Linked DNA regions of Stegostoma tigrinum. The protein of the gene in region 1 purifies or fractionates together with the protein of each later gene. This does not show direct contact. Links are inferred from orthologs where the notes say so. Each region holds a gene or a part of one and is shown in the gene's direction. Other genes may lie near its edges.

The links.
Region 2: the proteins of rnf146 (region 1) and parp2 purify together in Homo sapiens (affinity purification with mass spectrometry; 4 studies listed by BioGRID and IntAct, counting the BioPlex papers as one, with this or other methods). This does not show direct contact. The link is inferred for Stegostoma tigrinum from reciprocal best matches to the Homo sapiens genes RNF146 and PARP2.
Region 3: the proteins of rnf146 (region 1) and chd1l purify together in Homo sapiens (co-immunoprecipitation; 3 studies listed by BioGRID and IntAct, counting the BioPlex papers as one, with this or other methods). This does not show direct contact. The link is inferred for Stegostoma tigrinum from reciprocal best matches to the Homo sapiens genes RNF146 and CHD1L.
Region 4: the proteins of rnf146 (region 1) and lig3 purify together in Homo sapiens (co-immunoprecipitation; 3 studies listed by BioGRID and IntAct, counting the BioPlex papers as one, with this or other methods). This does not show direct contact. The link is inferred for Stegostoma tigrinum from reciprocal best matches to the Homo sapiens genes RNF146 and LIG3.

Annotation. Positions count from the first base shown.
Region 1 is NC_081357.1:68,246,034-68,253,381, forward strand, and holds the start of rnf146 (E3 ubiquitin-protein ligase rnf146), read left to right. Parts: upstream 1-4,329; 5' UTR 4,330-4,484; intron 4,485-7,348. UniProt on the Homo sapiens protein: E3 ubiquitin-protein ligase that specifically binds poly-ADP-ribosylated (PARsylated) proteins and mediates their ubiquitination and subsequent degradation. May regulate many important biological processes, such as cell survival and DNA damage response.
Region 2 is NW_026728242.1:133,892-141,002, forward strand, and holds the start of parp2 (poly [ADP-ribose] polymerase 2), read left to right. Parts: upstream 1-4,102; coding exon 4,103-4,122; intron 4,123-4,719; coding exon 4,720-4,893; intron 4,894-6,439; coding exon 6,440-6,576; intron 6,577-7,111. UniProt on the Homo sapiens protein: Poly-ADP-ribosyltransferase that mediates poly-ADP-ribosylation of proteins and plays a key role in DNA repair.
Region 3 is NC_081365.1:27,586,002-27,593,455, reverse strand, and holds the start of chd1l (chromodomain-helicase-DNA-binding protein 1-like), read left to right. Parts: upstream 1-4,441; 5' UTR 4,442-4,561; coding exon 4,562-4,661; intron 4,662-7,454. UniProt on the Homo sapiens protein: ATP-dependent chromatin remodeler that mediates chromatin-remodeling following DNA damage.
Region 4 is NC_081380.1:10,340,075-10,347,004, reverse strand, and holds the start of lig3 (DNA ligase 3), read left to right. Parts: upstream 1-3,922; 5' UTR 3,923-4,231; intron 4,232-4,903; 5' UTR 4,904-5,566; intron 5,567-6,930. UniProt on the Homo sapiens protein: Isoform 3 functions as a heterodimer with DNA-repair protein XRCC1 in the nucleus and can correct defective DNA strand-break repair and sister chromatid exchange following treatment with ionizing radiation and alkylating agents.

The DNA of each region.
Region 1 (7,348 bases):
GAAAGCTTCAGGAACTGGTGGTAACCTTAACAAAATGCAAATAATTGAGTAAAATAACTGAGTAGTTGATTAAAACAAATTAATGAGATGACAAGGCAGATAGTGTGCTGTGATTGGAGATAGTAGGAACTACAGATGCTGGAGAATCTGAGATAACAAGGTGTCGAGCTGGATGAACACAGCAGGCCAAGCAGCATCAGAGAAGCAGGAAGGCTGACGTTTCGGGCCTTTCTGCAGAAGGGTTTAGGCCCAAAACGTCAGCCTTCCTGCTCCTCTGATGCTGCTTGGCCTCTAGTGTGCTGTGATTGTAGGTTGTGGAAGTTTCTGGGTGCCAGTATGATCCAGAGCGCACACATCTGTAACAAATGTTTCCAGCTTGAGAAATTTCAGCTCAAATTTATTGAGCTGGAAGCCAAGCTACAGACACTGCAGCACATCGGGGAAGAAAGATGTGACCTGGTCACTGTATTCCAGGAGGAGGTCACAGTCCTGAGGATGCTGTCTTCTGATTTTATTAGTGGTCGGGGGCAGAATGATGTGACTGCAAATGAGGCAGGTAGGGAATCCAAAAGGTGGGAGAGCAGGAGCCTCAGACTTTATAATTATCCATCAGGTTTGAGGTTTATCAGCTTGTTTTGATTAGGCAAGGGTCTGCAGTGTGGATGAGTTAACTGACAAATGCAGCATTGTACATGAAGCCTTTCAAGTGGGGGTAATAAAAGTGAATTTGGGGTATTAAGGGACAGTACAACAAGAGGGATTGACACTGTTCTCTGCAGTTAAGCATGTGAGTCCAGATAGCTGTGTTATCTGCCCAATTCTAGGATATCCGCACTCAAATGGAGCAAGCTTCGCCATGGGATGGGGAGGATCCAAAAGACATGGCCCACATTGGTACCAATGATGTAGCTGGAACTAGAAAGGATGTTATGTCATCTCATTTTCCACTTGGGAGCCCTTCAGCCTTCAGGACCCAATTTTGAGTCTAATAATATGAAGGCCTGAGCACCCTCTTCCATGTCCTTCCCCCAACCCCCACACACCAGGCCCTGTCATCACCTGGGCTGTGACCACAACCAACCAGCTTCCAGTCCCCATTAGCAGCTACCGATTCTCCCAGACTGACCATTACCCAATCCTTTGACTGCCAACTACTATTATCTCACTCTGGGCTCTATCTCCACCTAGCGTTTATTCTTCCCCCTCCTACTATCCCTTCTTTTGCATTTATCCCACCTTTTCCTAGCCACAATTAGTTCTGATAGAAGAGTCACCAAACCCAAAACATTAACTCTGCTTTGTCTCCATAGAAGATAATCAATACGTTGGCATTGATATTCCAAATCCACTAGTTGCTGGAAAGATTTCACCAGGCTGGAAAGAATTCATGTAACTTCTTTAATTAAGAAGGATGAAAAGCTAGAAAACAGGTAGTTATAGGCTGGTTGACTTGTCTTTCATGAGGAACGTGTTAGAATTGATCATTAAGGACGTTATTTTTTAAAAAACAATGAATTGTGAATGCTGGAAATCAGAATCAAAAACAGAAATTGCTGGAAAGCTCAACAGATCTGGCAGCATCTGTGGAGAGAAAACTGAGCTAATGTTTTAGCACCAGTGACCCTTCTTCAGAATCCCATTAAGTAGCTTATTGTTAGCCACTTAGAAAAATTCATGGTAATTAGGAGTAGCATGATTTTGTGAAATGGAACTCAAGGGTAACAAATTAGAGTTCTTTGAAGGAGTAATGTGCACTGTGGGTCTGGGGAGCCTATTGACATGCATTTTGATTTCCAGAAGACATTTGACAAGATGTCATACAAGGGCTTTCCACACAGTAGAAGCTCATGGTATAGTGGTTAACATATTAGCATAGATACAGGATTGGTTGAGTTGTCAAAAACAGCAGGTGCGCATAAAACAGTATTCTTCTGATTGACAGGGTGTGATTACTGAAATTTTCCAGAGATTTGAACTGGGCCATAGCTTTTTACAATTTATATCAATGACTTAGATGAGAGATTAAAGGTGTTGTAACTAAAGTTGTGGATGATACAAAAATAGGTGGGAAAGTATAACACAGTGAGGAGTTGGATGATTTCTGAAGAAGGGTCCTGAACCGAAACGTCAGCTTTCCCGCTCCTATGATGCTGCCTGGCCTGCTGTGTTCCTCCAGCTCCGCACAGTTATCTCTGACTCCAGCATTGGCAGTTCTTACTATGTCTGGGTGGAAAAGTACGTCATGAAAATGATAAAATAAGGATGCAAGCAATTTTAGATAGGTTAAGTGTATGGGCAGATCTGGCAGATGGAATAAAATATTGGGAAATGTTATTTTTACCTTGGCAGGAACAATAAAACTGTAGAGTATTACTTAAATGGAGGACAACTGCAGACTTCGGACGTACAGGTAAATTTTAAGTCTTCCAGTGTATGACTTCCAAAATATTATGTAGGTACAGCAAGTAATACGCAGGCTGATGGAATGCTATCCCATATTAATAACATAAAAGCAATGATGTTATGCTTCCTTTATGCAGGGCGCTGGCAAGATCACGTTTCAAATACCGTTTGCAGTTTTGGTCTCCTTTCCTCGAGGATGTGAATGCGTTAGAGGCAGCGATTAATATTCTGAATATGCACGGGGGTCCTTGGCTCCATCTAGTGACGGAATTTTGTTGGTGCAGAAAGCACTGGGATTCCATCGGCTACCTCCACCAACCAACATCTGCCACTAGATGGATCTTGGTGAGTCCAAAAGTAACTTACACGCAGTCCCTCGGTTGCAAACAGATGCTGTTCTCGGGTCCACTTATAAGTCAATTTTCACACCAGTCAAAACACAGTGCAGGACCATGTAAAGCAGCTGTTGTAGGTACAGGAAAATTTTGTATGTTGAGTCTTCAAATTTACACCCCCAGATGGGATCACATTTGTAAATCAGATGTTTGTAAATCAGGGACCCTCATTTACTTATATATTTACTTATAGATTATATTTCGTCCCTTAATGCTTTCATATTTTGTGATGTATTTTATTTCAGTGGTTATTTTAGCTATGGATGCATAGTGCTTTAATTGAAATGGCTTTGACAGCGATTCTCATGGAAACTCAAGATCTATGATTAATTCCAATCATCATTTAAAGTCAGAATTTTCAGGAAACAGACAGAAGTGAGGAATCCACATGCATTATAGGTATGATTCAAAGGGCATATTCAAACTTATGAGGGAACAACATTGAGTAAGAAATTTGTTGGAAGTCCACGTACAGTGTTACTCTCTTAAAATATTATTTTTAAAAACTCTAGTAAATTGGTTAAGGACGATTCGCCTTCCAAGATAAAACCTATGGCACATCTCTGGCTAGGAGCCAGTGCTGCTGCCATTCCACACAGCGGTAGCAAGCCTTCTCTGACTCAGAGATAACAAACTGTGAAGCTGGACGAACACAGTAGGCCAAGCAGCATCTTAGGAGCACAAAAGCTAACGTTTTGGGCCTAGACCCTTCACCAGAAAAGGGGGATGGGGAGAGGATTCTGAAATAAATAGGCAGAAAGGGGGAGGCGGACTGAAGGCAGATAGAGAAGATAGGTGGAGAGGTAGGGAGGCGATAGGTCAGTCCAGGGAGGACGGACAGGTTAAGGAGGTGGGATGAGGTTAGTAGGTAGGAAATGGAGGTGCGGCTCGAGGTGGGAGGAAGGGATAGGTGAGAGGAAGAGCAGGTTAGGGAGGCGGGACAAGCTGGGCTGGTTTTGGGATGCGGGGGGGAAGGGGAGATTTTGAAGCTGGTGAAATCCACAATGATACCATTGGGCTGTAGGGTTCCCAAGCAGAATATGAGTTTCTGTTTCTGCAACCTATGGATGGCATCATTATGGCTCTGCAGGAGGCCCAGGATGGACATGTTGTCTAAGGAATGGGAGGGGGAGTTGAAATGGTTCGCGACCTGGAGGTGCAGTTGTTTATTGCGAACCGAGCGTGGGTGTTCTGCAAAGCGGTCCCCAATCCTCTGCTTGGTTTCCCCAATGTAGAAGATGCCACACCGAATACAGTGGATCCAGTATGCCACATTGGCAGATGTGCAGGTGAACATCTGCTTGATGTGGAAAGTCATCATGGGGCCTGGGATGTGGGTGACGGAGGAGGTGTGGGGGCAGATGTAGCAGGGGAACGTGCCGGGTGTGGTGAGGTTGGAGGGGAGTGAGCGGTCTCTCCAGAAGGCAGACAAGGGTGGGGATAGAAAAATGTCTAAATGCCCGGAGCAACAACTTCTTCGAGAGTGGGTGTGGCCTTGGCGTCAGCACGCTCCGCCGTGCTGACGTGTGGAAGTTGCGCCTACTGGGGTGCGGAGGGGCCAAACTAAGCTGGGGCTCGAGAGGCTGTGTTTGTTTTTGTTTCTCTTTCCCCTCCCCATCTGTGGTGTTTAGTGAGTGTTTCGGTGACAGTGGCTAGGCAAAAGCCCCTGGCTGTAGGCGCTGGCGGGTAAGTGAGGAACATTCAGTGGCATCGAACCCGGTGCTGTTGCCTGGCTCACAAAGGAACAATCGGCCTCGCTCGGGCGCTATGGTGACTGATTGTATCGCTCAGGCCCCGAGTTCCACTCGAACGTGGCGGCACCAATGTTCCCATTTGGAGCACGGAGTGGATTAGAGTGGGGCGCCGGGCTGCTACCTGACCCTCCCCCGCTCCCTTTCCTGTGCAATCCCCTCTTTCCATTGTTATGCCTCCTTCCTCCCCCCACTTTGCACTTTCTTGTTACTGTCACATACCCAACTGGGCTGACCGGTCCAGCGTGGTTTCGTCGCCGGAGCCATACTCGTCGGTTCTCCCTCATCGCAAAATATGCATGTACTTCGGCTGTGTAAAGCGCAAGGCCTTACTCAAATGTTATCCGTATTCTGCGAATGTATTTTGTTGTCCTCATTAGGTTCATTTATCAAATATTATTTTTTTGGGGGGGGCGGTGTAATGGTTGTTGGTGAGTAAACTTTCCCCATTAATTTGTACTCTTGTATTTTTATATTGTGAATAACTGTTGGAATAAAATGAAATCTCCCTTCTCTTCCCCACAGGCCTGTTGGATCCAGTGTATCTACAGGCTTTCAAACTTGAGATCGATGATTGCTATATTTATCTCCCACTTTGGGCCGCCTTTTAATTTCGATTTTGTTGCTATGTACAGGCTTTTTTTTTCAAAAACTTTGTCGTTGTTGCTGTGTTTTTCCAACGTGTACCAACAAAATCAGTAGAGGTCTACTGAAAGATTTGGGTGAAAAATTTGAAATCTAGACCCTTTCTTTCTGTCTATTTGTTTAACTGGAAAATTGGATCTATATTAGAAAAAATGTTGAAAATGTATTAATCCTTTATGATTATTTGGGTTTATGGAACATAAAATGCTTTGAGAGTAAATCAAACTCAGAATACTTGATTGAGATTGGTCACTTGTAATCCTTTTTTTTGGAGCTAAATATAGTTTCTCCTCCAAAATGCTGTAACGTAAACTCCAGCAGTCTGTGCCCATGTGCTCAGCTCACTCCTAATTAAGGAACTTCAGAGCCCAACATCAGAAGCATGAGTTTTCTGATTGGGAGTCTGGCATTCAGGTAGAACGAAACTCGCCTTCTTTCCCACCCCAAGAGGTCCTGAATGAAACTGTTCGTCTGGTTCCAATGGCATTTAAATGTGGTGTGACCTCCCAGGATCTTGAAGCTATCAATCATAAGCCACAGACTGATAGCTTCAAGTCAGGTCATTATAAGGAGCATTGGAAACCGATGTTTAAAAGCTTTCTTTGTGCACGTGGGAGAAAAATAGAACCGTATTTTACTGGAGAAAAGATTTACTAATTTTCTTTGCAGAATTTTTGGATACTAAATGTTACAGCCTAAGAAGACACTTCTTTTCCCCTCCACTGTTGTGGGAGAAATATGGTCAAAATAGTAAAAGGTTTGATGTGCATGTACCTTGCCGCACGTGAACTGTTGCACTTAATGCCACCTAAATGACTGCCTTAGTAAATGGGAAAGTAACAAGTGGGAACGTGAAAGGCAGAGCACTAAGCATATTTCTAGCTACAGTCAGCTGGAAAAATACAAGGCAAGATTGACAAGGCTAAGTTTTACATTTTATTTTAAAGCTTTTTTGAACAGTATTTTTGATTGCTTTCTTTGCTTCCCTAGAGAGGCAAATGGAAAGTGCACATGTATCAATGTATTCCTTGTTCTGTTCCAAGTAAGGAAAGTTTCCATTTTTAATTAATTTTCACAATATCACGAAGAACCCTGCAGTAGATTTGTTTTTAATTTTTGATATTTGTTATAAAATTTGAAACTTGGAAATTTTGAGTGGCACACTCAACCAGAGTAAAGACCAGTGAAACTCATGAATGACATATATACTTGTTTGACTTGACTTATAGATCTCAAAATGGAGCTCCAATATGACCATTATGTTCACTTCCTATCATTACTGCTTTGTTTTACTTTTTTCTTAAATGTCTGAGCAAGGGTTTGCACATGTAATGCCAGATGTCATTAGTGTCTTTCTTACCATTCTCTGCCTTTTCCATCTTATTATTTGGGTCTTGATCTTTGTTCTGCTTTTATTCTAATTGTTCTCCATTTTGTTTGCCAGCATTGATTCTTTATGAAAGACATCATGATACAGACCCTGCAGGCTGATTTTTACATTCACAGTAAATTTGCACCCATCTATGTAAACAGTGTTGTTCTTATGTTGCATTCAGTGCCTTGTGAACTAATGAATATAACCTAGTTACTAAAATCTGCTAATCTACATTTACGGTATATGTAGAAGGATTTCTCCTATTTCATGACTTTGTAGCTTTGCTTAGGGGGCCATGCATATGGTATTTGCATTGTGCCTGTTGACCTTTTCCATCTAGGGTATCAGTCTCATAGACTTTAGAGAGTATAAACTGCGGTTGCTCTGTGCACTCATAGTTAAGGGAATAAATGTTTTACATGGTCAGTCAGCTGCAGGTCAAGGAAACTGGAATGTCCTGGATAGTGTTGAGACTCTTAACAGTTTTGCAGGTGCGTTAATCCGAACAATTGGAGAGTATTCCATCAGGTTCTAGATTAGTGCCCTGTAGATTGTCTTTGGAGAGTCAGTGCTGAATTCTCAGCCTCTGACCTTCTCTGATAGTATTTGTATGGCCAGTGGGGTTAACTAGAGTTAAGTTCCTGATCTGAGTAATCAATTCAATTTGAACTCTTGGTCATCAGATCTTCGATTGTCTTTTCAGCCTTTACTTGTTTCTTCCCCTAAAAGGTTACAGTTACCTACAGTATCCTTGCCAGTTTGACAATTTCACTGTCAGT
Region 2 (7,111 bases), on another chromosome or scaffold:
TGTAGTTATCCCAATTGGTTCACAGTCAGACCCCCTGATGTTGTACTTATCCCAATTGGTTCACAGTCAGACCCCCCCCCTGATGTTGTACTTATCCCAATTGGTTCACAGTCAGACCCCCCCCCTGATGTTGTAGTTATCCCAATTGGTTCACAGTCAGACCCCCCCTGATGTTGTAGTTATCCCAATTGGTTCACAGTCAGACCCCCTGATGTTGTACTTATCCCAATTGGTTCACAGTCAGACCCCCCCCGATGTTGTAGTTATCCCAATTGGTTCACAGTCAGACCCCCCCTGATGTTGTAGTTATCCCAATTGGTTCACAGTCAGACCCCCTGATGTTGTACTTATCCCAATTGGTTCACAGTCAGACCCCCCCCCTGATGTTGTAGTTATCCCAATTGGTTCACAGTCAGACCCCCCCCCTGATGTTGTAGTTATCCCAATTGGTTCACAGTCAGACCCCCCCCCGATGTTGTAGTTATCCCAATTGGTTCACAGTCAGACCCCCCCTGATGTTGTAGTTATCCCAATTGGTTCACAGTCAGACCCCCCCCTGATGTTGTAGTTATCCCAATTGGTTCACAGTCAGACCCCCCCCCTGATGTTGTAGTTATCCCAATTGGTTCACAGTCAGACCCCCCCCCGATGTTGTAGTTATCCCAATTGGTTCACAGTCAGACCCCCCCTGATGTTGTAGTTATCCCAATTGGTTCACAGTCAGACCCCCTGATGTTGTAGTTATCCCAATTGGTTCACAGTCAGACCCCCCTGATGTTGTAGTTATCCCAATTGGTTCACAGTCAGACCCCCCCTGATGTTGTAGTTATCCCAATTGGTTCACAGTCAGACCCCCCCTGATGTTGTAGTTATCCCAATTGGTTCACAGTCAGACCCCCCCCGGTGTTGTACTTATCCCAATTGGTTCACAGTCAGACCCCCTGATGTTGTACTTATCCCAATTGGTTCACAGTCAGACCCCCTGATGTTGTAGTTATCCCAATTGGTTCACAGTCAGACCCCCCCCCCCGATGTTGTAGTTATCCCAATTGGTTCACAGTCAGACCCCCCCCTGATGTTGTAGTTATCCCAATTGGTTCACAGTCAGACCCCCCCCCTGATGTTGTAGTTATCCCAATTGGTTCACAGTCAGACCCCCCCTGATGTTGTGGTTATCCCAATTGGTTCACAGTCAGACCCCCTGATGTTGTACTTATCCCAATTGGTTCACAGTCAGACCCCCTGATGTTGTAGTTATCCCAATTGGTTCACAGTCAGACCCCCCCCTGATGTTGTACTTATCCCAATTGGTTCACAGTCAGACCCCCTGATGTTGTACTTATCCCAATTGGTTCACAGTCAGACCCCCCCCCTGATGTTGTACTTATCCCAATTGGTTCACAGTCAGACCCCCCCCCCCTGATGTTGTAGTTATCCCAATTGGTTCACAGTCAGACCCCCCCCTGGTGTTGTAGATGTCCCAGTTGGTTCACAGTCAGGCCCCTGGTGTTGTTCCCAACCCAATTTGTTCACAGTCAGCCCCCAGTGTCATACCTAACCCAATTTGTGATTTTGATTTGATTTATTGTTGTCATGTGTACCTAAGTACAGTGAAAATCTGTGTTTGTGTAGAGTACAGGCAGATCATAGCAAATAAGGACATACAGATCATAGATAACACAGTGTGGATCTGGAGGAACACAGCAGATTAGGCAGCATCAAAGGAGCAGGGAAGCTGACGTTTCGGTTTAGAACCCTTCTTCAGAACTGTTTAGCCCCGACCTGAAACATCAGCTTTCCTGCTCCTCTGATGCTGCTTGGCCTGCTGTGTTCCTCCATGCCCACGCTGTGTGCTAGCTCTGACTCCAGCATCTGCAGTTCTTGCTATGTCTCATGCAGATTATCGGGTGCTTAGACAGAACTAGGCATCTAGGTTACGCTGCGCAGGAGGGGTGCGAAGCAAGATCAACGCGAGCAAGATGAGCATTATTTGAAGTTCGGGAGTCTATTCATTAGTCTAATAACAGCAGCGAAGAAACTGTTCCTGAACCTGATGGTGCGTGTGTTCAGGCTTCTGTGTCTTGTGCCTGATGGACGAGGTTGTAGGGGATCATTACCAGGTTTGGAGGGGTCTTCGATGATATGGGCAGCCTTTCCACAACAACGAGACAAGTAACTGGAGTCCATGGGTGGAAGGTCGGCTTCTGTGATGGTCTGGGCTGTACACACCGCCTTCTGCAGTTTCTTACGGTCCTGGGGGAGAGCTGTCACCGTACCAGGCCGTTGTTCACCCGGAACGGTATGCTTTCTGTGGTACATCAGTAAAAGTTGGTGAGGGTCCTTACGGAAAACCCGGAATTTCCTGAGCCGCCTGAGGAAGAAGAGGTACTGTTGAGCCTTCTTGACCGTTGCATCCGAGTGGGAACCCCGGGACAGGTTCTCGGTTATTGTCACTCCTCGGAACATGACACTCTGCTCCGTTGGTGTGGATGAAGCGTGTCTTCCCCCTCCTTGCATGGTCAAATCCTGTGACCCCCCCACCGCCGCCAGGTTGTGCCGCTCCCAGTTTCTGCACAGTCAGAAAAAAAAGACTCAGCCTTGTTTCTGAGGCAAGAAATTACAGAGAGTTGCGAACACAGCCCAGCCCATCATACAAACCAGCCTCCCATCCATTGACACAATTTGAGGTTGTACAAGATGTTGGTTAGGCCCCGTCTGGAGTACCATATAAAACCCGAAAGAACGGCAGATGCTGTCAACCAGAAATAAAAACAGAAGCTTTTGGAAAAGCTCAGCAGGCCTGGCAGTGCCTGTGAAGAGGAATCAGTTGTTGTTTCTGGTCTGGGGCAACCCTTCCTCAGATCAGAATGCTGAGCTTTCCAAGCAATTTCTGCTTTTGTCCCTGGAGAACTGTGTCCAAATCTGGTTGTCCTCTTACAGGAAGGGTGTCGTTGAAGCTGGGGAGGGTTCAGAAGAGATTTACCAGGATGTTGCTTGAAATGGACGGTTTGAGTTATAAGGATAAGCTGGAACACTGGAGGTTGTGGGGTGAATTTACAGACATTTATGAAATTGTGAGAGATGTAGATAGGTTGAATGGCAGGTGTCTTTTAAGAGTGTGGAATTTAAAGACCAGAGCACATTTTTAAGGTGAGAGGAGAAAGATTTAAAAAAAAGGTGAAGGTTTTTGTTTTAAATACAGAGGGTGGCCCGAGTGTGGAATGAGCTTCCAGTGGAAGTGATGGATGTGTGTACAGTCACAATGTTTAAAACGCATTCGGATAAGTACATGAATAGGAAAGGTTTAGAGGGATACAGGCCAGGAGCAGGCAGGTGGGGCTAGTTTGAGATTTAGCATGGACTGGTTGGGCCGAAGAGTCTGTTTCCGCGCTGTACAGACTCCACCTGTACTTCCTGCTGCTTCGGGAAAACAGCTAACATAATCAAAGACCCCTCCCACCTCAGTTGCACTCTCTTCACCCTCTTTTCATCGGGCAGAAGATACAGAAGTTTGAAAACACATATCAACAGATTCAAGAACAGCTTCTTCCCTGCTGTTATCAGACCTACGAGTAGATCCCTCATATATTCGAGTTGTTCTCTCTCTGCACCCTCTCTGCTGCTGGAACACTATATTGGGCATTCTGTTTTACTATCCTGATGTACTTAACTAAGATATGATCTATCTGCATCGCATGCGGATTATACATTTCACTGTATCTTGGTGCATGTGACAATAACAAAGTGGAACAGAAGAAAACCTGTTCTTCCTGAAGTGTGCGTCATGCCCGCTGCTCCTCTGGGCTGGGACGAGTCGATGATTTTTCTTTCAAAACATGACAAAAAGCAGATCTCGGTGCTACGGGCTGAATGGCATTCTGTGCCGTCTCGTTCTACAATTCTGTGCCTCACAGGGATTTTTTTGAAATTCATTAATTGCCTGTCATAGTTGTGCTTAAGAAAGTGGCGGTGAGCTGCCCCCTTGAACTGCTGCAGTCCCATGTCCTGTGGGGTAGACCCACAGCGTCCCCCTCAGGGAGGGAATTCCAGGGATCCTGACCTGGCCACACTGAAGGAACGGCCGATATATTTCCAAGTCGGAATGACGAGCGGCTCAGAGGGGTAACTCGCAGGGGGCTGGTGTTCCCATGTATCTGCTGCCCCCTTATCCTTCCAGATGGAAGTGGCCGTGGGATGTAGAAGGTGCTGCCTGAGGACCCTTTGTGAGTCTCTGCAGGGCGTCTTGTAGATTACACACTGCTGCGGTTGAGCATCGGTGGGTGGGGGAGCGGGTGTTTGTAGATGTAGTGCCAATCAAGTGGGGAGCCGCTTTGACCCTGGACAGTGTGGAGCCTGTCGAGTGTTGTCAGAGCTGCCCCCATCCACGGGCAAGTGGGGTGTATCCCATCACACTCCTGACTGTGTGTTGATGGTGGGACAGGTTTTGGTGGAGTCAGGAGGGGAGTTGCTGGCCACAGTATTTTGATCCTGTGACCTATTCTTGTCGCGACTGTATTTATGTTATGAGGATGTTGATTGTGGGGGGGGGGGCGGGTTTCAGTGATGGCAACGCCATTGAATGTCAAGGGAGGGGGGTGGTTAGATTTTCTTTGATTTGGGGATGGTCACAGCCTGGCATTTGTGTGGCGCAAATGTTACGAGGCACTTGTCACCCCAAGCCTGGATATTGATAAGTTTTACCTCGGTGGTGTGTGAGAGTTATGGTAGTGGGACTGGTGTTCTCCCTGCAGGCCGCAAGAGAGCGACGGCAGACAATGATGAAGAGGAGGTGGGTCTCAATGAGTTAGCTGGCCGTTGGGAATGGGAAGCGGATGACGGATCCTGGAATGTTTACTCGGCCGAGCATGAGCGGGAGCTTTCAGAGGCTTTGCGGTAAGTGTCAAAAAGCAGTGTTCTGCCAAAGGCGCCTCGAGTTCAAAACTCAAATCCTTCCATCGTCTCTGATCCCACCTGTCTGTCCGCCTCCCAGCCTAGTTTTACCTTCCCCCAACTCTGTGATCTTCTTCCGTCCCAAAACCTTCATATCCCTGCTTGCTTCTGATTCCCGACTCTCAAGTTCCTTCCCTATGATTGAAATTTCTGCAGCTTCAGGTACCCGTGCCCATAGCAGAGGAATGACCCAAAACATCTCCACCTCCCACCTTCTCTCTCACTGGCTCCCTCCCTCTCTGTCTCTCTCTCTCTTCCCCTTTCTCTATCTCTCTCTCTGTCAGTCTGTCCCCCTCCACATACCCCACCTGTCTATCTCTGTCTTGCAGTCTGTCCGCTTCCACACACACCCTCCCTCTCGCTCTCTCTCGCTCTCTCTCGGTCTTACATGGTGCCCCTCTCGCTAGGTCTGCCGTCTTCTCTCGCGATCTTATTTAACTGATTGTGTGACTGTGAAGTTGCGTGTTTTAAGTTTTTCCAGGAATGTTGGTTTCACTGGCTAGACCCAGGATCTGTTGCCTGTCTCCCTGGACCAGTGCATGGTGCGCCCACCTAGACTGCTGATAGGGAGGGAGTTCCAGGCCCAATGATGGTAATATATTTCCAGGTTGGGATGGAGAGCTTGCAGGGGGCTGGTGTTCCTATGTATCTGCTGCCCCTTGTCCATATTGATGGTGGAGGGTGTGGGGTTTTGGAAGGTACTGAATTACGGAGCCTCAGTGGGTTTCTGCAGCGCATCTTGTAGATGGTACACACTGCTGCGACTGAGTGTTGGTGTTTGTGGATGCCATGCCAATTGAGCGGTTGGCTGGTTTGTCCCTGGGTGGTGTCGACTTCTCGAATGATGTCGGAGCTGCCTGCACCCAGTGCAAGTGGGGAATATCCCATCAGACAGGGGTGGGGTGTGTGCCTGTGTGTGTGCCTGTGGAAGAGGGAAGAGTCAGGAGGTGAGTGACTCGCTACAGGATTCCCAGCCTCTGACCTACTCTTGTAGCCCCTTGTGTTTATGTGGGGCCGGTCCAAGTTCAGGTTCTGGTGAATGATAATCCCCAGGATAGTGGGGACAACGGTTAGATTTTCCCTTACTAGAGATGGTCACTGCCTGGCATTTGTGTGGCATCAGTGTTACCTGCCACTTGCCAGCCCAAGCCTGGATATTGTCCAGATCTTGTTGCATTTGAACGCGGACTGCTTCAGGACCTGAGGAGTCACGAATGGTGCTGTACACTGTGCAGTCATCGGTGAACATCCCCGATTCTGCTGCCTGTGGGGGTGGGTGCGGTCATTGATGAAGCAGCCGAAGGTGGTTGGCTCTAGAACGCTGTCCTGTTGGAGATTTGAAGGAGTGTGTTAAGTGAAGAACGAGGGGGCAGGGTTGGACTTTCGGACCAGGGAACACAAACTCGAGCCTTTCCAAGTCCGTCGCATTGACCTAACACTGCACCTTATCTTGCCCTCTTCCCCCCCCCCCCCCCCCCCCCCCCCCCAGGTCCGGGAATACCTCCGTTCAGCTGTCTCTTCCTTCGAAGATCACCCTGCGAGTGGATTTGAAGAAAATGGCCCAGGAGAACAGCCAGACAGGCTTCGAGAGGAGTGTGCGCTATGCTGTGAAAGAGAAGGAAGACTGTATGATCCTGTCCTGGCAATGTTTGACGGGCAAAGAGTAGAGAGAGCTTTACTTTCAGCTCATTGGAGTAGAGAGAGCTTTACTTTCAGTTTATTGGAATAGAGGAACTTCACTTCCTGCTTAAAAGAGTAGAGGGAGCTTTACCTTCTGTTGAGAAGAAGAGGGAGATTTACTTCCTGTTTAAAAGAGCAGAGGGAGCTTTACTTTCCATTTCAAGGAGGAGGCAATTTGAAAGGGATGTCAAGATGGGCTCCTTTCCCAAGTAGCAGACCTGGGATCTCTCGCACTAAGTGCTGTTGAAGTTTAGGGTGGGCTAGCTATAAATGTTACCAGTGGCATTGATGGATGTTTTCTGGCAACTGTACACAGACTAGTGATGCAATGGTTGGGAATTGTGAATCATGGCAGCTAGAATCTCAATGAATAGTCAGACAGGCTCAAGGGACTGAATGGTCCCCTGCCGTTCCTCTGTAACTGGGTCCAGGAGGTGGCTGAGTGGCCTCAACCTGATTCTGTGTAACAGACTCCAAGAGG
Region 3 (7,454 bases), on another chromosome or scaffold:
GTTATGGTCATTGTTTCTGAGGGGATCTTTTACTCTAAGATCATTTTTTTCAATTATACTGTATTATACATCACCAGATCCAAAATGAACTGAACCCTGGTTGGATCAACCACACATTGTTGTTGGATACTGTCCCAAATACACTCTGAGAATTCTCTCTCATGGCTTTCTCCGCCAATCTGATTATCGCAATCTACATGTAGATTAAAGCCACTAATGATTAATGTACTGCCTTTGATAGATGCCCTCATTATCTTCTGATTTAGTCTCAGTCGCAATGTTAAACTACTGTTGGGGATCCTACATCCAACTCTTACCAGCTTCTTTCTTTTTTCTTAACTCCACACATATGGGTTCAACATCTTCTGATTCAAGGTCATTTCTTGCTATCATATTTATTTCAATCCACACCAACAATGCTACTCTATTATCATTTCTTTCTTGCCTGTTCTTTCAAAAACTCACTTATCTTGAATATTTAGTTTCCAGCTTTGATTTTCTTATAACCATGTCTCTGTAATGGTTATAAAATTATACCTGTTAACCTGACTTTTTGCCATTAATTCATTTATTTTGTTCCAAATACTATGTGCACTCAAGTAACGAGCCATTCATTTTGCCTTTTGAATGACTTTTTTCCCCCTGATTGACCCTATTTACTTCTATTTTTCTATGTTTACATATTTTGTCTCTTCCTGTCCTTCTCTGGGTATTGCTATCCAAATATCTGCCGTGCAATGCTGCCATATCAACTTGCTTTGTTGTAATAGGGAACAAAGAGATGGCAGGCCAACTAAATACATATTTTGGTTCTGTTTAACAGAGGAGGACACAAACATTGTCCTAGACCACCTGATACAGTTACAGGGAGGAATTGAAAGAAATCAGTATAAGTAGAGAAATCATGATGGGGCAATTGATGGGATTAAAGGCCAAATAGCTCCGAGAGCCCAATAACATGCATCCCAGACTACTTAAGGAAGTAGCCTTAAAAATAATGTATGCATTGGTGGTGATATTTCAACATCTATAGATTCCAGAACTGTTTCTATGGATTGGAGGGATTGGCCTATACATATTCTTTATATAGGTTGCAGGAGGGCATTTGATAGAAGTCCCACATAAGAGACTGTTACTTATAGTAGAAGCCTACTGAATTGAATGCAAATGCCTGACTTTGCTGCACAAATGTTTTAGTGGCAGGAAACAGAAATTAGGGATAATTGGTAGGTACTGAAATTGGCAGGATATGATTAATGGTGTCCCATAAGAATTTGTATGAGGCTCTTAATTATTCATATTTATTAACAACTTGGAAAATAGTATGGAAAGTCATATATCCAAATTTGATGGTGACATAAGTCTGGGTGGCATTGTCAATGATAGCATAATATTACAAAAGGATATTGATAGACTAAGTGAATAGACAAAATCGTGGCTGATGGATTTCAGTGTAACCAGCGTGTGGTTATCCACTTTTGGAATAAAAGAGGTTAGATCAGGATACTTTTAAGATAATATAAAAAAAATACAGTGGATGCCCAATTAAGACTTGAGGGGTTCAGGTACATAGATCTTTAAAATGCCACAAACAGATGCAGAAAATGCAGATGCAGAAAACAGATTCAGGGGCAGCACAGTGGCTTAGTGGTTAGCACTGCTGCGTTACAGTACCAGGGAGCTGGGTTCAATTCTAGTCTCAGGTGACCGACGCATACATTATTTTTAAGGCTGCTTCCTTAAGTAGTCTGGGATGCATTTTGTGGGCTTTTGGGACTATTTGACCTTTAATCCCATCAATTACCCCATCATGATTTCTCCACTTATACTGATTTATTTCAGTTCCTCCCCGTCAATGTATCTGTGGTCTAGAACAACGTTTGTGTGGAGTTTGCACATTCTCCCCGTGTCTGCATGGGTTTCCTCCGGGTGCTCCAGTTTCCTCCCACAGCCCAAAGATATGCAGGGTAGATGGATTGGCCATGCTAAATTGCCCATACAGCCCAGGAATGTTTAGGTCAGATTGATTAGATATGGGAAATTAGGGGAATGGGTTTGGGTGGGATGGTGTTCGGAGGGGCAGTGTGGACTTGTTGGGCCCAATAGCCCATACTGTCAGGATTCTATTCTGTGAAAATAATCAAGGTGGCTAATGGAATGCTAGCCTTTATATCTAGTGGACCGAAGTATAAGGACACAGCAGCTGTACAAAACTCTGGTTAGATACAACTTTGAGTACTTGGGAAAATCTGGGTACCACATCTTAGGAAGGATATATTGTCCTTGGATGTTTATCAGAATGATACCTGAACTACCAGGAGTTAAATTATGAAGAGAGATTATACAGATCTGATGAAGGGTCTAGGCCCGAAACGTCAGCTTTTGTGCTCCTGAGATGCTGCTTGGCCTGCTGTGTTCATCCAGCTTCACACTTTATTATCTTGGATTCTCCAGCATCTGCAGTTCCCATTATCTCGAAAACAAATTTGGCCTGTTTTACCAAAATTTAGAAGGTTAAGGGGTGAGCTGATCAAAGTCTTCATAATGCCAACAAGAAAAGGCAGTGTAAATAAACTATTGTCACTAGTTGGAGATATTAGAACTAGTCTACTAATTAGGACCAGGCCATTCAGGGGAGATGTTAGGTACTACTTCTACACCTAGACAATGGTAGAGGTTTGGAACTCTCTTCCACGAAAGGCAGTTGATGTTGCAGCAGCCATTAATTCATTTTAATCTGAGATAGATAATTATTTTATTAAGCAAAGGTTTCAAAGAATATGACCCAAAGGTTGGGAGATGGAGCTAGGCCACAGGTCAATCATGATCTCATTGAATGGTGGAACATGCATGAGGGGCTGAATGGCCTACTCCTGTTCCTATGCTTTCCAACTTAACATGACATTCAATTGTATTATGATCTCTAATTTTCAGCTGATATTTTTACTCGATTACTAAATAACATTACCACATTAAACAATACCAAAACCAAGATAGATTGATAAGGTGTATTGTTCACAGCTATAGCACCTCCCAAACCTGCAATCTCTACAGATACATGGGAACACCAGCATCTGAGTTAGTAAGAACTGCTGATGCTAGCGTCAGAGATAACACGGTGTGGAGCTGGAGGAGCACAGCAGACCAGTCCTGGCAGGTCTGTGTTAACACCAGTATCTGAAAGTTTTTTTTCAAATATTAGCAGCACAATGGCTCAGTGCTTAGCACTGCTGCCAACAGCACCAGGGACCTGCATTCGATTCTACCCTTGGGCAACTGTCTGTATAGAGTCTGCACATTCTCCCTGTGTTTCTTTGGGTTTCCTCTGGTGCTCCAGTTTTCTCACAGAGTCCAAAGATGTGCAGATTGGGTAGATTGGCTATGCTAAATTGCCCAAAGTGTCCAGGGGTGTGGAGGCTTAGTCGATTAGCCATACAAAATGCAGGGTTACAGGGATAGGGTAAGGGACAGGTCTGGTGGGGGAGGATAGTCGTCAGAGGATCAGTGTGAACTCGATGGGTTGAATGGCCTGCTTCCATACTGGAGGAATTATTTGATATATGATTTCCCTCACCAGCCACACAGCATCCATAGCTTGGAAATACTTATCACCATTGTTTCACAGTGGCTGGGTAAATACTCTGGAACTAATTCCGAAGAACATTTTCTCTCCCTGCGCCCCACGGATTGCAGTGGTTTGTCATTACCCAAAAGGTCTATAGAAATAATTAATGAGATGAAGGGTCTAAGCCTGAAACGTCAGCTTTCCTGCTCCTAAGGCCTGCAGTGTTCATCCTGCTCTACACCTTGTTATCTAGGAATAGTTATTATCTGCTTCAATGAAATTTAAAAAAAACCTTCGCTGGTCAGATATCTATGCTGGTTATATCAGTGAAGGCTTCAAAGGCACATGCTCTGTGGAGGAAGAGAAAATGGGAACTGCAGATGCTGGAGAATCCGAGATAACAAAGTGTGGAACTGGATGAACACAGCAGGCCAAGCAGCATCTGAGGAACACAAAAGCTGACGTTTCGGGCCGAGAGCCTTCATCAGAAAATTCCTGTGGAGGAATATTGTAATTTCTGGTCAACAGCATGCACACAGCCAACAGAAGTTTCTTTTACTTTTACACAAGCCCTCACGCTGCAGCAATGGTTCCACATTTATTTTAATTTCATATCGTTTGAAGGTCCCATTAAGTCAGTGCCTCTCTCAAGTTCTCTTCTCTAATTGAAAACCTTATGAAGGACTACACCTTCCAATTACCAGCACACTCTCTCAATTCCTTCAATGGAAAGACACCGCCCGCTCCCCTTTGTTTGATCACCAGAGACTCCGCCCACCCATCTTTCCTTCCCTTCGTCACGGGAGACTCCGCCCACACCCTTTCCGTTCGTTCACGTAGACACCGGTGTGTCATGAAATGGCCCCGCCCATTCCGTGCCGACCCTCTCGGGGCGGGGTCACTGATACGGGTGCGGCACGTACTTTAGTGTCGGAGGTCGTTCGGCGGTCAGTCAGTTATTCTCAAAAATTCCTGTGAACGTAGAAAGATTTAGATATGCCTCACTTTGTACAAAATCTTCGCAATTTACTCAGTAACCAGCCGGAAGAGTTTGAACAAGTTGAGGAGGAGGATGTTAGGAGTTGGGGGTTGACAGGTCAGTGCCGTTTAAACGGATTGTAGCCGACTCCTGGGGAGGTCTGAGGACACCTGACTGATCACAGGCCCAACTTGGATAACTTTGAACTCTTTGTGGGCACTTTGAACATAGTTATTAAATTGTCTTAATCCGACTATCTCTCATAGGCCTCTCCTTTAAATCGTGAGGCATACTGCCCGTGCCCTAAATATAACCTATTCTTGGCCTCTTTCTAAATAATTCTCATTCTCTGAAAATTGGGTAATGATGGTGACATGTCGGTTTCTTTTTCAAAATTAACCACTTTGCGATAACTACACTCTTTGAACGAATTTTATTCACTCGCTGAAGAGCGATTTGACTGTAAACAGTTCTTGAGTCCATGGAAAGTTCGGAAAGATCCCATCAGAGATGAAGGGTCTAGGCCTGAAACGTCAGCTTTTCTGCTCCTGAGATGCTGCTTGGCCTGCTGTGTTCATCCAGCTTCATACTTTGTTATCTTGGATTCTCCAGCATCTGCAGTTCCCATTATCTCTGATCGCAGTTGTAATGGCACCCGCATCCACAGCTTCAACAGAAAGTTCATTCCACACGTGAACCACCTTCTGTAATTAAAAAGCCTCAGTCTTTTTAAAATCTCTCTCCTCTCAACTTAAAATGTGCCCCCGGTCTTGAAATTCTTAGGGAAATTACAACTACTATCAATGCCTCTTGTTATTTCATTGACTTCTACCAGCTCACCTCTCAGGCTTAGATAATAAAGTGTGAAGCTGGATGAACACAGCAGGCCAAGCAGCATGCTGCTTGGCCTGCTGTGTTCATCTAGCTTCACACTTTATTATCTTGGATTCTCCAGCATCTGCAGTTCCCACCACCTCTCAACCTTCTTGGCTCCAGTGGAAAAAATCCTAGCCTTTCTTTATAACTCAGATCTTCTGTACCTGGCAACATCCTGGTGAATCTCTTCAGAAACCTTTCCAGTTTGATAATATCCTTTCTGTTCTGAGTAAGCGTCAACGGATCCGAAACATTTACTCTGTTTTCTCCTCCACGGATGCTACCAGACCTGCTGACCTTTTCCAGCAACTTTTGTTTTTGTTCTTGATTTACAGCATCTGCAGTTTTTTTTTGTTTCTATTTAATATTCTTTCTGTACCAGGTGACCAAAACTGGACACACTAAAGTGTCAATCAGCTGATCGAGGACCCAACTGAATATTGTTGTTTCTTATAAATTATTACAATGAATTGCCAAACATAGCTCAGTCTTAGCCTCAGTTGTATTTGATGTTTCACAAGTGCACTGCTGGTGGTGGATGGAAGAGCAGTTTGAGTGGATGAGTTAAGTATATATTACAAATATGCATTGCTACAATGTTAAAAGCATAGTAATCTCACCAGTTTACTAAATAAACTTATTGATGAGAAACAAAGTGAAAGAACCTCAATGCATTTTGCCAGCCTCATTGTTTATCTGAAATAACTGAAACCTGATCCCAACTCTGTATTAAAAACTGTAGGAACTGTGGATATTGTAAATCAAAAACAAGAAAAACTTTTCCTTGATATTTGCATCCATTGCCAATGTTGAGCATTTTTGCATCAACTGTCAGAAACTAGAGATTTTAGTTTCAAAAATAAATAAGACATCTTTGTATTGAGTAAATTGAATTAGGAGGATGTCTGATTTTATTACTTTTCATGGGCTAAATCAGAAAAATTGAGTTCTAATGATCAGAAAATTGCAAGAATAAATTAACATGAGCAGGAGTAGGTCATTCTACCTTTCAGTGCAAATCTTCCATTCAATAAGATCATGGCTGATCTGATTATTCAACATCTCTGATAACCTTTCACTCACTTGCTAATCAGGAACCAGTCTCCAGATGGCTTAAAAATGTTCTGCATTTACTTCATGCCTCTACTTCTACTGCATTTGTGAAAGAGATCCATAGTCAGTTCACCCATTGAGAAAAATAATTCTTCTCATCAGTCTCAAATGGACAACCCATTACCTTTAAGCAGTGTCCCCCTAGTTCTGAATTGTCCTGCAAGCAGAAACATCCTTATAACATTTGTCTTTCAAAACACTCAGGATCTTGTATGTTTCACTCAAGTTGCTCTTTCTCATCAGTCAGCTTGCCTATTCCAGGCCTAGTAAGCCTTCTAAAATTGCTTAATATGGTGATATTCTGATACTGTCACTAAACTGATAATCCAGAAGGCCAAGCTAATATGCTGAGGACATGAGTTCCAGTCTCACCATCATCGAATGTGGAATTTAAGTTAATTTAATATATGAGGAATTACTCACTTTAATGGTGACCATTAAATCATTGTCAGATATTTTAAAACCCACCTCAATCTCCAGTGTCCTTTTGGGAAGGAAAACTGCCATCCTCACCTGGTCTGGCTTGCTTGTGACTCTACGTCTTCAACAAAATGGTTAATTTTTTACTGTCCCCTAGCAGCTTTCAATTCCCATTTTGTCTCCCTTTTTGAATAAAGGTGTTAAATTTGCTATTTACTAATCTAAAGGAACATTCCCTGAATATAAAGAATGTTGGAAAATTAAAACTGATGAATTAACTATATCACTAGCTGCCACTTTTAAAACCCCAGGATTAAGTCCATCAGGACATAAGGACTTATCAGCCCACACCGCCAACAGTTTGCACAATACTGCTTCCCCTGTGATTGTAATATTCGGATTCTTCCCTTTCTTCCATGTCCTGATTTACAACTATATCTGGAATGTAACCTTTATCTCTATAATGAAGATCAATGCAAAATAATAATTCAGTTGATCCTC
Region 4 (6,930 bases), on another chromosome or scaffold:
TTGCCAAACTGTCCCGTCTTCAAATCACTAAGAGGCAGCAGTGAATTAGGTGGCGAACCTGATGCCCCAGGTTTTTCCTGGCCCCGTTTTAAAATCCATCTTCCTGGGCTAGACAAATTATTACCCATCCCTCCTGCACCAAACACTAGAGTTCAGAATCTGAACTGGCATGGCAGGGATTTGCTACCTTATGTACGAATGGAATGTTAAACTGAAGCTCCATCTGCCCTTTCTGGATGTAAAGATTCCCTATGCTGTTTCAAAGAGGAACAGGAAGGTCTTAGCCAATATGTAGCCCTCAATCAACATTCCCAAAACAAACTAATGGCTGTGAATAAAGCAAAGTTGAGATCATAGGTTATCATATTCTGCTCTTCTCTGCCTTTGTTTAGTTATGTCTCCATTTTTGCATTTGAAAAATGCAATAACCTTCACTGGAATAAAGCCATAATTAAACACTTACCTACTTATTCATACAACTGACAAAAAAAAGATTTTTTAAAAATTTTAAATTGGTGAAGAACACAGTGATATTTGATTTACTGGCTTCCTTTTATCCACTAAGTTTCTTGTTTCCTTGTCACTTAAGGGTATGCACTATTATTTAAAGGATTGTTCCAAAAGCATCTGCTGACTATGGCCCACCCCCTTGACCTGTCTGTCCTCCCTGGACTGAGCTATCCCCTCCCTACCTCCCCACCTACACTCACCTCTACTGGCTCCATATCCGCTTCTTTAACTTGTCTGTCTCCTCTCCACCTATCTTGCCTCTATCCATCTTCAATCCATCTTCCCCCTCTCCCCCTTTTCTGATGAAGGGTCTAGGCCCGAAATGTCAGCTTTTGTGCTCCTAAGATGCTGCTTGGCCTGCTGTGTTCATCCAGCTCCACACTTTGTTATCTCGGATTCTCCAGCATCTGCAGTTCCCATTATATCTGCTGATTATTTTTTTGTGACTGACGGCAGACTATTTGATCACAGGACAGGAATATCCCAATCCTCAACCAGCACATTCCAGAAGGTGTTAGACAGCAAATAAGAGTGGGAATCCTGAGCAATTTGATCTCACTCTACCCCTAGCTGAGACTAATTGTGGTCTACTATTGGTTCCTCCAAACAGAGATCGGGTAACTTGATGTAGACCTGAGATTGGACCAATGCCATTGCTAGTTTGTATCATCAAGTAATCTTTGTGTAAATCTGTACATAGAAACTTAGCTTCTTTTTACAAATGCCACAGGTAGGCCAGAGAAATCGCAATGTGAGAACAGTGATGCACATTGGAATCCTACCAATGGGTGGAGGTGAGATCTGACAATAGAATTTTATTTTGCATTATGACAGTAACCTGTAGTATATTCTATGACACATCATCATCCTTCAATGGGAGTTGTTATGAAGATATGCTATCAGAAATATTAATTTAGAATATCATTGTCTGGACATTTTTCAAAATCTTTGACTATTTGGAGAGAACACTTTGCAAGAAAAGGAGACTGACTGCAATGGGAAAATGTTTAATTTCCAAAAACTACAAGCTTCTTGGTTGGAGTCACTGAGTTTGCATTAGCTTCAGAAAGAGGCCACATATTGTATTTTTTGAGACTAATAAAACATATCAACACAAAAAGGATTGAACACAGAGCCAGAGAGAGAATTTAACTAGAGCAACAGCCTTCGCTATTCTCTGAAATCCCTCTCATCTCAGTATGAGAGTTGAAAACTCACTGGAAAATTCCACCACCACAAATGGAGAGTTCTGACAAGAGAATTTGAACTCAAAAAGTGAATTCAGTGAGCTAAAATTGATCCAGGAGGACACCCCAACACTAATTGTGCAACGTGACTTTGGCTTCAGACTGTCATTTGGACAAATTGTGAATAATTCTTTTTCCTGAGTTTAACAGTTCCTTGACCAAGGAATTTTGTAGGTAACAAAGCAGAGGATTTACGTTTTATTTCCCTGCCTTGAAGGTTGTTCATATGTATGTTAGTTTTCAACAAGGGCAGATGTACGTATTTGTATAATGTAAACTTTTGTTAAAAAAATCATTATAGCATTGCTTGAGCAAAATTATTTGGCAATAAATTATTTCTGGCTGACTTGATACTGAGTTAGATACGCTTAATCATAATTATTACCTTTGTTTTGAAATTCAAACTTCGTTCGGACAAATGAGAAGTGTGAAATAAGAAATCAGTTTACACCTCCTAACTGGATCACAATAGAAGTAATAGTTTAGTGTTTCTGAATTATATTTGTAGATCTGTACTCACTTCCTATTTAAGTCTAGACACGTGAGAAATGGTAAGGCCATATTTATTGCCCATGTCTAGTTTCAGAGTCAGTTGCCTCAAATTTCCAAGAGGTAAAGCAGATACCAAGGAAATAATCTGCAACTTTAACAAAATGAGTAATAGCAATCAGTCACCCAGTATTCAAGCCACCCAGTGAAAAAAACAGGCAAGGTTTACTTGAGTGATCAATGCACTCTGTGCCAAAAGTGTTCTGCCAGCCAAGATATACATGATTAAGAGTTTGCGGGTGACGGCAATTGTCTTTGTTCACACTGCACCAGATTTGCAAGCCACTCTTGATCTCTTCAATGCTACAAACAGGAGAATTAGCCTGTTCTTGAATGTTACCGCGGTCAATATAAATATCAGATTCAATTAGAATTTTTCTTCATGCCCTGCTAAACATTCTTTTTTCAACTCAATTCCATGAAAACTAATTATCATTTGTCTCATTTGCTACTTGAGGAATAGATTTGATGTATTTACATAGCAGCAGCTACATTTTGGAAGTAAAATGTCATAAAAGGCATTGGGCTGCCCTCAACATAAAGAGCAAATTCATAAGAGATAATGGGAACTGCAGATGCTGGAGAATCCAAGATAATAAAATGTGAGGCTGGATGAACACAGCAGGCCAAGCAGATCTCAGGAGCACAAAAGCTGACGTTTCGGGCCTAGACCCTTCATCAGACATAATCCTGCTTCTGAATTGGCAAACATATTTCAATTAGAAACAGAAAATGCTGGAGAACCACAACAGTTCTGTAGCACATATGGAGACAAAATCAGAGACGACTCTATTTCAGTTCTCTCACTACCTCGCTAAAAAGGCTGTTGGACCTGCTGAGTTTCTCCAACACTTTCTGTTTTCGTTTCAGATCTCTGGCATCTGCAGTATCTTTTAGAAATTGGATTAGAACAGGGATGTGTACATTAGGATATGGCAACATTTTAATTTCAAACTATGCTTTTTTTTAAACTCATTAGTGGGGTATTGCATTGCTGGTTTGTTGTCCAAACCTAGTTGTCCTTGAGAAGGTGATTATAGAATTGAATCCCCTACAATGTGGAAACAGGTCCTTTGGCCCAACAAGTGCTTACCAATCCTTGGAGCATCCCACCCAGATCCATTCCCTTATAACCTACCTAAACTACACATCCCTGAACACTACAGGCAATTGCATGGCCAATCCACCTAACCTACACATTTTTGGACTGGGGGAGGAAACCCACAAGGGCATGGGGAGAATGTGCCAATTCGGGCAGTCACCAAAGGGTGAAATCAAACCCGGGTTCACGTTACTGTGAAGCAACAGTGCTAACCACTGAACCACCATGCTGTTCCCAATGGTGAGCTACATTCCTGAACCACTGCAGTCCTTTTGGTATACATAGCCCCATAATGTTCTCAGTGAAGGAATTGCAGGATTTTGACCCAGTGACATAAAGGAACAGCAATATATCCTAGGTCAGGATGGTGAGTGACTTGGAGGGAACTTGCAGGAGCCGGTGTTCCCCTATGCAGTGTCTGCGGTCCTTGTCTTTCCAGATGGAAGTGGTGCTGAGTTTGGAAGCTGCTAAGGATCTTTGGCGAATTTCTGCAGTACATTTCGGTGCACAGCACACATTCTGCAGTGCATTTCGGTGTACAGCACACATTCTGCAGTGCAGTTCGGTTTACTGCTGCTACTGACCGTCGGTGAGGGGAGGGGACTGATTGCAGCCTACGCTCAGGGAGTTGTCGGGAGTGAGAGTCTCATGGTTATCTTGTTTCGATTTTGTGTCGGCCACAGCTCTTGAGGGAGTCGGGCCGCCCGGCACCTTTAAACGGGCGCCACGTCACAGCGGCTGAAGCAGGGACAAAGGGCGAGGGCCGGCTCTTAAAGGGGAGGTCTCCAGGCGGCGCGGAGAGCAGGCCGCAGCTTCATACCAGGTCAGTCCGAGCGGGCCCTGGCGCTACGGCCGGGGGTGGGGGAAGAAAACACCGAGCCTCGACCCAGTAGTCAGGAGAGGCCTGGCCCTAGCCCTCGGCTGAACGTCGTTCCCCCCGGGGCGGGGAGACGGTTACCACCAGAGGGCTTCACTCGCACCGGCTGGGAGCTGGTGTCTCTAGGCCTTGAGGCCTCGGGCCTCGATTTGGAGGCGGGTTCCGCTCTCGGCTTGTCCGCCGAAAGTCGCAGGCGCTGGCCCCGCGTTTAAACGGGACGGGCATCTCTTTCTCCCTCCCCCCGCCTCCCAAATTTAACCACCAAACACCCCACTCCTCCCGCTTCAATTTACAAACACGAATAAATATTAACTGCTACAGATAATGGGATCTGATCAAGTTCTGAAACTGCATTCACGGTATTTTGGTTACTCTTAAACTGGTGGGCGTGTATGTTTTAAAGCCCTTTGTTGGCAGCGTTTCTCCAGGATACTACAAAGTGTGTGGGAATGATAGCACCATGGGGCCAGAAGTCCGTGGTCACAAACCCAAATCAGGAAAGTCTGAGAAATAAACTGAGCTTTTCCTCTGCGAGGTACAAACCAAAAATAGGTTAAAGGTTTCCTAGCATCGGTGGCGACTCATCTAATTTAAAACTAGCCTTGTCTTTTTTTTCAGAAAGATCACATCGCTACAATTGAAAACTCTTGAAAATTGAATGCCCCATGCCCCTGAACCACGAAGCCGGGGTTATGTCCCATCCGCTCTGGACGTGTATAATAAATAACGTGTGAACAGGTTGCTGAGTAAATATCTAGACACTGGGAGTTACGTCTAGGCCGCCTGGCCTTGTGCTCCTGCCCTGCCATTCAGCAGGATCGTGACTGATCCTGTACCTTTGCCATTTTCTCCTGAGGGGAGAAGTCACCAGACCCGAAACGTTAACCCTGATTTTCTTTTCTGTTCTTTACAGATGCTGACAGACCTCCTGAGCTTTTCCAGCGACTTCTGTTTTTGTTCCATATTTTTCCAGCTTTCTTCTCACAATGCCTCCTAGTGCCTTTTAAAATTTTCAAATTTATCAGTCTGTGTTTTGAATATATTCAGTAATTTGCCCTCCACAGTCTGTGTGAAAGGAGCAGTATCTCCTCGGTCTGCCGTGTACGCGTGACAGTGCAGATACTGTGCAAATCGGTCAGAAATTGGCCCCTTTAAGTGCTGCTGGGGAAAGGAAAATTAAAGGTCGTGTGCATTCAAACACGAACAGCCTGTGAATGTTAGGAAAGCACTTTGAGGGAACGCTTGTAACAATATCACGGATGGGAGAATAGTTGGATAAAGGTTACGATGTTTATGAATTTTTTTAACCCCCCAATGCATGACCTCAGTGACTCCAACATTGCTTGAAAAAAGCAATATAACAATCTCGTGTAATCAGCTAGAAAAGCTCAGCAGGCCTGGCAGCATCTGTGAAGAAAAAAAAATCAGAGTTAACGTTTCAGTACTGGTGACCCTTCATTAGAACAGGAAGTTATGATTTTTTTTTCACCGATGCGCCAGACTTGCTGAGCTCTTCCAGCGACTTTTGTTATTGTTCCTGGTTTATAGCGTCTGCGGTTTTTTTTTATTGTGTAGTCTGCTTTGAGTTAATGCTTGTTGCACCCTAAATGTTACATATCGTGTCTTGCTCCTTTTGAAGTGTTTGTCAAGAGCCGGGCTGGAATTGAGCCGAAACTAAGCAGAAGCTGGTCCTTTTTTTTCTTTTGGAGCTTTCATAACTATGCACCAGGATATTAATGATATGAGGGAGCGATGGGAATGGAGAAACAGATGTCCAGTTTGATTATAAAATGTGAGGCTGAATGAACACAGCAGGCCAAGCAGCATCTCAGGAGCACAAAAGCTGACGTTTCGGGCCTAGACCCTTCATCAGAGTCCAGTTTGATTGCAGTGTGCACTTGGTTTTTTGCTTGGCCAGTTAGCTGCCATCCTTCCCTTCCTAGGTTTACTTCTATCGCTTTAATTCCCCAGTGAGTTGGTGAAGGTGGCATGAGCCATTGAGGTGAATGGCACTGAGGCTAAGCATTCCCAGTTGGCTGTAAGTGGTGGTGAATGGGCACATGATTCATTTAAGGGATAATATGATCCTGAGGTTTAAGAGTTGTTATAAGATAGATCTCAAGCTTAATAGCTCTAATTGTCCCAACATCCATAGTCTTCTGAGGGGCAAATTGCAAATTTTTAATACTCATTTGTATATGTGTTTTATGTTGAGAAGCGCGAACTGATTTTTCTCTATAAAGCCAACTCTGATTTTAGAAATTGTTTCCTTGTTCAGAGGAAAATATTTCCTTGTATTATCCTGTTGAATCCTTTTAACATTTTAAAAACTCTAAGCTAGGTTTTGGCAGCTTGCTGTATAGTATAATATGTTAAATTAAAGAATCATTATGATAAGTCAGCATTGAGGTATGTACCCAAGTCACCACCCTATAGCCTCTGCTCCATTACAAATAAAGATCTGTCCCATTGAAAATAAAGGCCAATATTTGTTCGTATTTTTGCAAGCTTTTTGTACCTATTCATTACTATTAAATAATTCATACACATTGGATTTCCAAATCTTTTTGTTTCTGTATAGGTCCACATTTCTTGCTCTTTCTTGGGGGGAGGGGGGAGAAAGGCCTCTTTCTTGAGTCCAAAAT